Drosophila melanogaster: one gene and its partner. Changing the gene in region 2 together with the main gene of any one other region gives a genetic interaction. Each region holds a gene or a part of one and is shown on either strand. Other genes may lie near its edges.

Region 1 (3,321 bases), 8.6 Mb from region 2:
TTTCTGGGTTTGGTGGGCGGGGTGTCCGCTCTGTTCGGCTTCTCGCGCACGCTGGCCACCGCCAAGAAGACGGATAGCAAGGTCCTCCAGCAGGCTGGAACGCGGCAAGGCATGATCCTGATGGACGAGGGCGCCACCCTGGCCCTGCGGGCGCTGGGCTGGGGCACACTGTACGCCGTGATGGGCACCGGCGCCTTCTGCTACGGCTTCTGGAAGCTATCCGGAGCCAAGGATGTGAGCATGCCTCCGATTTGTTCAATGAATTTCGCTTTAAATCTTTCGTTTCGTTCGCAGTTCCAGGAGTTCCGCCTCAAGATGGGCAATGCACTGCCAAGAATCACCAAGGACGAACCACCAGCCAGCCGCACCGATTTCGAGAGTCTCACGGACCTCATGAAATACCTGGCAGCCTGGAACAAGGAATAAGCAGCTCACAAATATACACACAATTTAAAGTAGACCTAACGCCTGAGTAGACCAGAACATAAAACGAAACCTTTGTTAACTTCAGTTTACATACAGACAATGTTTTCAAGACGTTTGATCGGTTTTCATTTCTTTCGGTCAGACTTAAAGGCAGCCATCATCAGAAGTGCAACTTAGGGAGTTACATATTAGGGTAGAAATAAATACAGTATAATTCGCTTAGCTGCATCGATAGTTAGCTGCATCGGCAAGATATCTGCATTATTTTTCCATTTTTTTGTGTGAATAGAAAATAGAAAATAGAAAAAAAAAAATTAAGTTAGCTGCATTTTTAAGTTACCTGCATCGAGGCATTGTGCAAAGTACTCGAGGCAGCTAAGCGAATTATACTGTATAAGCCAAAAGCAAACCGTCTTACAATCTCTGAGTCTTAATTTAATTTATCAATATCTACAATTCACATATGTATATTTATGCATAGCTTAGGGTCACCGTTGGTTGGCCATATTCTGGTGTATAGCGTTGTTGATCATGGTGTTCCGCATGAATAGGTAGTGATCGTCCATATTGCACTGCAGCTCCATCATGTCCTCGTGCTCCGCCTGAAATCGGATGGCCGCGTTTGTGAAAGCCAACGAGCTTCGCACGAAGTTTTGCAAATTGGGTCCCTGATCTAGGTAACGCTGCTGCTCCTTGTTTGGCTTGAAGCTAACCTTGCGATTGTCCGTGTCCAGTGCCGCATGCATTACAAAGTCGAAGAACTTTTGCTGCTCCTTCTGGGCGCGCTCCTTGTACTGCTGCACCTCGTCCTCCTGACAGCTAGGATCCCAGACTGAAAGTCTGTACGTTAAGTAAATGGCAATTTAATTAACCACAAGGATTGCACTTACTATCGTCCAGGTCAATGTTAAACAAAGTGCTTGCTTCATAGCGACGCGGTTTCAAAGTGGCCTCCAGTTGGGCCGGCACGTCCTTGAGATCGATGTCGGAGAGATCACCGCTCGATAGATCGACGGCACTCGTGTTGCCCACGTATTCCAGTACGTCACTGCGGCGTACGAATTTCATTAATTTTTCTGGACTTTCGGCTGGCTCCATCGCGTCGCTTCGTTTGTTTTCAGTTTTTAAATCCGTAAACGCTTGCCAACACCCATCGCTGATCCAGTGATGCCACATCTTTTGAACGTAATTCGCTCTGGCTCTTTTCAAGCCAAAACCTTTTATACAAATTAAAATATACGATATAAAAAATTGCACTTTTAATATTAATAAAAAGATATATACTCATTGAAAAAAAGCTGAACTAAAAAAGGGGAAAAGGGTTATAGGGCATAAGTCATTTTATGAATGCTAAGCAGGCCTTGCGTTTAGAATCACATTTCAATTTATTGTATTTGTTCAAGTAGTCAAACCAAATGAACAAAATCGAGAACCGAATACACAGCTATATATATACTTTCTCAAAATCCAAAATTTTAAGATTATCCAAAATTTCCAAATAATGATTTATGCGATCGTGATACACATACTGTCCCTTCTGGTGGGCTGTTTCTATCCAGCATTCGCGTCCTACAAGATCCTGAAAAGTCAGAATTGTAGCGTCAATGATCTTCGCGGATGGTTAATCTACTGGATTGCCTATGGAGTTTATGTGGCCTTTGATTATTTCACAGCGGGTCTGCTGGCATTTATTCCATTGCTAAGTGAGTTCAAGGTGCTTCTCCTGTTCTGGATGTTGCCCTCTGTGGGCGGCGGCAGTGAGGTGATCTACGAGGAGTTCCTGCGATCCTTTAGCTGTAACGAATCCTTCGACCAGGTCCTGGGACGTATCACCTTGGAATGGGGCGAATTGGTGTGGCAACAAGTTTGCTCCGTTCTTAGCCATTTGATGGTTTTGGCAGATCGCTATCTCCTGCCCAGCGGTCATCGTCCTGCCCTCCAAATAACGCCCAGCATCGAGGATCTGGTCAACGATGCCATAGCCAAAAGGCAGTTGGAAGAGAAGCGGAAACAGATGGGTAACTTATCTGATACCATCAACGAGGTTTTGGGAGAAAATATCGATTTAAATATGGATCTGCTGCACGGATCCGAATCTGATTTATTGGTTATTAAGGAGCCTATTTCCAAGCCCAAGGAGAGACCAATACCGCCGCCGAAGCCAATGCGTCAGCCATCATCAAGCAACCAGCAAGAAATGAATCTTTCGTCGCAGTTTATGTGACATCAATTGATATCCTCAATATGTCAGGCGGAAGTTGTCAAAGTTCAGAGCTTTCAAAAAGCATACATCTCAGAAATAAACTAACCTTACCGCAATAAAGTTTATACAAAAAAAGCATTTAAATTGATTAATTTTAGTCACAAAATATTGAACCAATGTGTTGGTTATCTTCTTAGCTATTTTTTCTAGCCTATTTTCTTGTGTTTGCACAATCAGTCGCGGAGGTCTCTTTTCGCGGTCCGGTAACGCTCACATAACAAAACTCAGCAACGAATCAAAAACAGCTGCATTTAACGCGATTCGACTCGGGATTTGTGTCCTTCCTTTTATGAGATGATATGCCGACTCTGCCTGGAGGATGCTGAGCACGGGGTGCCCATTTTCGGCCAGGAACCGCCAATGGGACAACCGGCACATCGCCAGCTGGCCGAGCTGATCGAGCGACATCTGCTGCTGGTGGTGAGTGGATTTGGACTTTTCTACCCCAAAAAGATGTTTTTTTCTAATGATTGAATTGTTCGCTTTCAGTTGGCGGAAAACGACGTGGTGTCCACGTGCCTGTGCAACCGCTGCTGGCGGCAGCTGGCCGAGATCGAGCAATTCTGTTCCATGGTAGCGGAGAAGCAGCGGTCGCTGCACCGCTCCTTGCAGCTGAAAACTGAATTGCCGGA
Region 2 (7,655 bases):
ACTATTGCTAACGCACCCACACTAGAGACGGAACCAAATGCGATGTTTATGCTATCGATAGTTTAGGATAGATAGTACCCCACAAACATCGATTCATTTAGCCGGAGCATAAAGTCGAATTTTTCTGTAACTAAATATGCAATGTGCCCACTCAAAAAATTAAATTAGTTTAATAAATTAATACTGGCAATTTTTTTTAATATCAATATGTATCGATATATTTAGAGAACATTATCGCAAGTGTTGCCGTTTAGCGGGTTGCTAACGTTGCCACCTGTGCATAAACTTTTGGCCATATCCAGCACTTATTTATTATGAATGGCGCGATTTTTAAAAAATCTTCAAATAATCACTTATAAAGCCCATATTATATTAATACCAAAAAAAAAACTAAATATTATATACTTTCATACCGATTTGTAGCGGGTATTAACTAGAAGCAAAACGCTATACTCTTAATGAAAGTGAGTATTCGTAGTTTACAACTTTTGAGAAGTTTTTTCAACATCCAAATAAAATCATTCTAACTTATTTTTCAAATATTTTAATTTTATTTATTTCATTTTAGCGTTCAGATACTGGGATTCTTGATACAGATACTGGATTCAGGGATTCTTAGATCGCTAGTCAAAAAAATGTAATGCTTAGAGTAATTGAAATAATGTAGGCACTGCGAGCTGCTGAAAAGAAAGTCAGATGGGGAAAATAATGTCTACAGCTACTTAAAGTAAATATGTATACAAGTTATTTATACGTGTGGAAAGGAGCACTTACTTAGCTTACTTAACAAAGCAAATAAATGGTAAATGCATCTTATTAGCGAATACCGCTAGGAGAACAGGATTTTAATGGAATTTTATATGTACAAAAGGCGGAAAATAGAGAATAACGGGTGCGAACCAAACGCACGCATTTGGTCCACAACCTAGTCGATGTGATGGTTAATGGAATGTGCAAGTGTTATGTATCGTGATGTTGTCATCTGTTCTCCTAGTCCCTGCGGGTATCCTGCCCACTCAGGATATATCCATATTGATCTTGCCGTGTACATGGATTTGTGCGAGTGTGATCTATTGTAATGTCATCTGTTCTCCTAATCCTTGCGGCTGGCCATGTGGTTGGACAAGCGGTGGCGGGTCCTATTGGCCACACAGGATATATCCATGTTGGCGAGTGAGGAAGGCCTGTTGGCCAAAGTGCGGCGACGTAAGACACGTGGAGCAGGAGTGCTCGGCTCCGGCGAGATGGAGCCCAACAGACGCCTGCCATTCGACGGCGCAGCGGCAGTGGGCGTAAGTTGGCGCCTCTTCGACTCATATTCATCACTATCATATTCATCACTATCGTCATCGCTATCCGACACGTGTCTAGGCGGCGAGACGTATCTAGGGCGCCAGGGACGACGTCCATTCGATGTGGACGGCTCAGTGTTTTCTTGGTTATCAAGTGTCGATGCGGATGTGGATGTGGATGTGGATGTGGATGATGTCGCAGTTGCAGTAGCAGAGCGAAACGAGGTTACTACACTTGAGAGAAATGTTGTTTGCGTTCCCTGTGATTCAAATGTGCGAGTTCCACGATCGGCTAAAGCGCGTGCCCCCGCAGAAGTAGATGGTTGATCATCGGAGAGGGTCACCACGCGACTCTGCACTTTGGTATCGAACGCACGCTGAAAGACGGCATCATCGTCGGAGGAGCCGAAATCATCCCAATGGGAGGGTGATAGCTTCTCTTGAATCTGATCACCATTTAGGTGACCTGGACGTGGGGCTTCGGCCGAGTCGTCCATTGAGCCGGCGTCATCCGAGTCCGATTCGGCAACGGGCACTGCCTCCGGGCTGACGGCTGAGCAAACCTTGCAGACGTAGTTTTGGAGAGTCTTCAACGTGCAAAGGTAATGTGACGGATTGGCGCCACATGAGGTGCAGTACAGCAGCATGGCGGAAGTGTCGGCGCGACCAGAGACCGCAACGCACAACGCGGCCGTACAATTGACATCGCGGCGGTACTGCCCAGCAAAGGCGTCCGGCTCGGTCTCCCAGGAAGCGTCTCTGCGGAATACAAGTACTGGTTAGTTGGGCTTGTTTGCTCCAAATGTAGTAGGTTTTAACTTACTGGTCCAGCACCGCGATGCCCATATAAGCCACCCTGCGGAACACATCTGTGTTGTTGCACAGCGGGCACTTGAAGAAGTAGCCGGACGAGTTGGCGTAGCGCTGCAGGCACCTGCGGTGGAACCATCCATTGCGGCAGCACGGCGCGTATAGGCAGGTCACCACGCTGAAGCGCTCGCCCTTGGCAACCACGTCCTCCGCGCATAGGAGACATTCCTCGTCATTCTTGAACACCGGACGGTTTCGAGGCACCAGCACATGCTGATGGCAGAACGAGTTGTACGTGTCGCAGAACTGGTTCTGGGCCAGATTATCGACGCCGCACTTGGTATGGAAGGTGCGACGGCACCCCGACTTGCAGCACCAAATATTGGCGCCCAAGCGGCGGCAATAGCAACACTTAAGCAAACGGCAGCGGTTGACCTCCGCTTCGATGTCCTCCTTGAGGAAGTTCATGATGCTCAATTTCTTTTCGCCACGCTGGATGAGATTCGAGCTGAGGTACTGCAAGAGGAAGGGAGAACGAGGGGAGTGAGAAGGTCGGCTTGCGAAGGAGTCTCCTGGACGCGGAAGCCCACCCGAATACTCTTACTTACCAAGCAGTTGCGGTGCACCATCATGTTGCCCTCCACGTGCACAGTGCCGAAGATCAGCTCGTCCCGCTCGCCGCTGAGGCACAGCACGCAGATCTGCACCATGGATGCGTTTCCGGTGACCAATCCCTCAACTAAAACAGCAACAGCAGCCGAAAAAAACAAATCTCGCCGATTGAGAAGCGATTGACTGTTTTCGCGCGCAATGAACGTCGGTTTATCGGAGATAGCCCTGCAGCCAGAGATGCCAGATCGCCTCGAGTTGATTTGATTTTATTTGCGTTGGCACGAATTGCCTAAAACTGCTGTTCTGAAAAAATTTTAATTAAAATCTTAATATTTAACATGTCTAGTTTCTATATATATTTCTATATTTTCTTAAGCAACCCTGATGTTAAAAAGGGATATTTTCAAATTTTTGCCTTGGGAAGTCCAAAGAGAATTGACGTAGCTAAATAGGAACGAAATAAAAAAATCAAGCAACAACCTAAATAGAAAAATATAAATATAAAATCTTAATACTTGACTTTTCTAGTTTCTATATATAGTTTTATATTTTCCTAAGCAACCCTTAAATTAAAAAATAGATCTTTTTAATTTGTTGCCTTGGGAAGTCCAAAGAGAATTGCCGTAGCTAAATTGAAACGAAATTCAAAAGAAAAAATAAAAACAGCTCTTATTTACCCGTTACTCAGGTGGTGCGAGAGAAATGGCAATATTCAAATAGAAGAGCGAGTGCTGTAGAGCGCGCAGCGATTGAATGTTAATGGGCTTCTAAAAGTCTAATCTGAACACAATTTGCCAGTTAGCTTCTGTTGACAAGTGAAGCACATGTCCCTTAATACCAAGAAGTTGAGCATTTTGGCGGCAACAGTTTGAGATTCACACAAGCAAATCGGGAATTTTATTTAGCCAATGATGAAGAATATATATGCACATATAGTCTGTAGGGTTTATAGGGTTGGAGACGATTCTGTTTCTATAAATTCCCAACGATTGATTTATTTTAACTCTTAATGGGCTTCTAAAAGTCTAATCTGAACACAATTTGCCAGTTAGCTTCTGTTGACAAGTGAAGCACATGTCCCTTAATACCAAGAAGTTGAGCATTTTGGCGGCAACAGTTTGAGATTCACACAAAAGCAAGTCGGAAATTTTATTTAGCCAATGATGAAGAATATATATGCACATATAGTCTGTAGGGTTTATAGGGTTGGAGACGATTCTGTTTCTATAAATTCCCAACGATTGATTTATTTTAACTCTTAATGGGCTTCTAAAAGTCTAATCTGAACACAATTTGCCAGTTAGTTTCTGTTGACAAGTGAAGCACATGTCCCTTAATACCAAGAAGTTGAGCATTTTGGCGGCAACAGTTTGAGATTCACACAAACAAATCGGGAATTTTATTTAGCCAATGATGAAGAATATACAAATATGCACATATAGTCTGTAGGGTTTATAGGGTCGGAGACGATTCTGTTTCTATAAATTCCCAACGATTGATTTATTTTAACTCTTAATGGGCTTCTAAAAGTCTAATCTGAACACAATTTGCCAGTTAGCTTCTGTTGACAAGTGAAGCACATGTCCCTTAATACCAAGAAGTTGAGCATTTTGGCGGCAACAGTTTGAGATTCACACAAACAAATCGGAAATTTTATTTAGCCAATGATGAAGAATATACAAATATGCACATATAGTCTGTAGGGTTTATAGGGTCGGAGACGATTCTGTTTCTATAAATTCCCAACGATTGATTTTTTTTTAACTCTTAATGGGCTTCTAAAAGTCTAATCTGAACACAATTTGCCAGTTAGCTTCTGTTGACAAGTGAAGCACATGTCCCTTAATACCAAGAAGTTGAGCATTTTGGCGGCAACAGTTTGAGATTCACACAAACAAATCGGGAATTTTATTTAGCCAATGATGAAGAATATACAAATATGCACATATAGTCTGTAGGGTTTATAGGGTCGGAGACGATTCTGTTTCTATAAATTCCCAACGATTGATTTTTTTTTAACTCTTAATGGGCTTCTAAAAGTCTAATCTGAACACAATTTGCCAGTTAGCTTCTGTTGACAAGTGAAGCACATGTCCCTTAATACCAAGAAGTTGAGCATTTTGGCGGCAACAGTTTGAGATTCACACAAACAAATCGGGAATTTTATTTAGCCAATGATGAAGAATATACAAATATGCACATATAGTCTGTAGGGTTTATAGGGTCGGAGACGATTCTGTTTCTATAAATTCCCAACGATTGATTTATTTTAACTCTTAATGGGCTTCTAAAAGTCTAATCTGAACACAATTTGCCAGTTAGTTTCTGTTGACAAGTGAAGCACATGTCCCTTAATACCAAGAAGTTGAGCATTTTGGCGGCAACAGTTTGAGATTCACACAAACAAATCGGGAATTTTATTTAGCCAATGATGAAGAATATACAAATATGCACATATAGTCTGTAGGGTTTATAGGGTCGGAGACGATTCTGTTTCTATAAATTCCCATCGATTGATTTTTTTTAACTCTTAATGGGTTTCTAAGAGTCTAATCTGAACACAATTTGCCAGTTAGCTTCTGTTGACAAGTGAAGCACGTGTCCCTTAATACCAAGAAGTTGGCGGCAACAGTTTGAGATTCACACAAGCAAATCGGGAATATTATTAAGCAAATGATCAAGAATATATGTATAACATATATATATATATAGTTTGTAAGGTTTATGGGGTCGGAAACGCTTCTTTGATTTATATACATTCGGCTAGCATAACAAAAACATGGCGGGTTTCAGTTGAAGATTTTGTTTTGTGGCTGTCTCAAAAAACACGTGTGCCAATTCAATGTAAAGTCCTGCACAAATAATTAAACAGTTGGAAAAACGCTTAGGGGCAACCCTACTGCCAGAGTTGGCAAGCGTCAAACTCTCGGTTTTATTTCTGTTTCTACGAATTTCCTCGAAAATTGCCGTAACCTGGGGCAAATGCGAATTGAATGAAAGTTGCAGTCCTTTATTTTCAAAGTATGTGTATAGGGGTTCTAATTAATGCCTTTTCAAGTAGATATATGTATTTGTGTTACAATTCATTGCACAATGCTATTTCATTATGAAAACTTACCAAAAAGCGTTGAATTCCCGAACTTTTTATTTGTGCTAAATTTTTAAAAATAACACTATTCACTGCTTTAAGCTTTTGATTTGGTTAAATGGGTTTGGTGCGGAGTTATTTTTGAAAACTTGTTATATTTATTTTTTTATTCCGAAAATTTCTTCTCTGACCTGTGAGCTTCTGCTTCGAGACTATGCACCTTTATGATTTTCTGATTTTTAGATTGTGGCAAGCAGAACTCAAATTTTCGATAACTTTGAGAAGTGATGGAAGCTGGGACGATACATCGATAGATTCGAGAATAATATCTGTTCATGGCAATTTTATGTGCGTCTTGTTATGTGCGTCAAGTTAGCGTCGATGAGTTAGCGGCTATGTCGGAACGGAAGAAAATGGAACATGGCATCGTTTTTTATGTACTTATTAATTTTTTTTCGTATTTTGAGGTGAATTCCAGGCGGCATTTTTAAATGCTTTAAGCTCCTCCCACTGCATTTTTCCAGGATCATTACCTAATTCGGTTTAGGTAAGCAAGGCACAAGAAATGTCCCTTAAGATGGGCTAGCGTGCAATTAGGAACAGGCTCTGCGAGTGGAAATATTCTCCAAAGAATGGTGAACCTGATTTTTCGATTGCGCATTTTATATACTTTCTTGAGTCCTATAAACTTAAGTCGTACATATATAGTTGGATAATTCTTATCTGAACATTCTAGCATTTTTATTTTTTGGAATACTCCTCTAAACAACGAAAAAATAAATAATAATACACATTCGCATTGACGCGAATTTGATGCAAAACTTTTTAAGTTAGAATCCTCCAGCCGGGTGGCAGCAAAACACCGTATTGATATAGTAGCCGAACAAATTTCTGCCGCAACGACTTGATTTTACCTACAACCCATTTATTGCAACAACTGTGTCCTTATGCAGCCAGAAAAATCCATTGAAAATCTGCTAGTGAAATATATCCAGTAGCTTTGATAAGCCGAGAGCCCGCCTTATTTTGAATATTTCTGCCGGGTGGCAGCACTGCTACGTATCGTTAAGCAAACAAAACAAATTTAGCTGCCGCAACAAGTAGATTTGATTTGAAACCAGTGAAAAGAAGGTTTATTATGTCGCTCTCCCGCCTGAACACTCTGATGAAACTAACGCCCAAGCCCACGGGTAAGTATCGGGGACTTCGATAATCCGACATCCAGCCTTCTGCGTTCGAAATTTGGGTTCGGTTCAAAGTCCGAACACCGGTGATTGAACCTTTGTCTCTTCATCGTTTTAAAAGTCCAATCAATTGCACTTCCCGTCAGCCATCGGATCCCTTAAGATGCAGAGAAACCTTTCCGCCCTCCCGGAATCCGGACCCACCGGCTCTTTCAAGACGCTGGCCGTCAGTTCGCCCAAGCCGTTCGTCTTTCATGTGGAGCTCCATCGGCCCAGCAAGTTCAACGCCATAAGCAAGCAGATGTGGCTGTGGGTTATCCAATAGCTTCCCGTTTCCTGTTCCGCAGACTGCTAACCCAAACTGCGTTACCCATTTCCAGGGAGATCAAGGAGTGCTTCGACGGACTGGCCACTAATCCCGACTGCCGGGCTATCGTTTTGTCCGCCTCCGGAAAGCACTTCACCGCCGGCATCGACCTCAACGACATGATAAACGTGGGCCAAACGCTGGCCGAGACCGATGACTACGCCCGCAAGGGCGTCTCCATGGAGCGAATGATCAAGGTGTACCAGGACTCAATCAGCAGCCTGGAGCACTGCCCCAAGCCGGTCATCACGGCGGTGCACAAGGCGTGCATCGGCGCCGGCGTGGACCTGATTACCGCCGCC

What was found. Genes that interact genetically often act in the same process or in processes that back each other up.
Region 1: of Phf7 (region 2) and Reepl1, changing one suppresses a phenotype caused by changing the other (phenotypic suppression), as found in Drosophila melanogaster (one study listed by BioGRID).

The regions. Positions count from the first base shown.
Region 1 is NC_004354.4:11,570,875-11,574,195, forward strand, and holds Reepl1 (receptor accessory protein like 1), read left to right. Parts: upstream 1-1,832; 5' UTR 1,833-1,927; coding exon 1,928-2,650; 3' UTR 2,651-2,766; downstream 2,767-3,321. Other genes in the region: CG11699 (uncharacterized protein), read left to right, coding at 1-234, 295-426; Kmn1 (kinetochore Mis12-Ndc80 network component 1), read right to left, coding at 915-1,258, 1,317-1,524; CG11696 (uncharacterized protein), read left to right, coding at 2,984-3,109, 3,179-3,321.
Region 2 is NC_004354.4:20,159,825-20,167,479, forward strand, and holds Phf7 (PHD finger protein 7), read right to left. Parts: upstream 6,007-7,655; 5' UTR 5,833-6,006; intron 3,018-5,832; 5' UTR 2,813-3,017; coding exon 2,711-2,812; intron 2,619-2,710; coding exon 2,116-2,618; intron 2,052-2,115; coding exon 1,094-2,051; 3' UTR 531-1,093; downstream 1-530. Other genes in the region: CG9577 (uncharacterized protein), read left to right, coding at 6,941-6,992, 7,133-7,295, 7,367-7,655.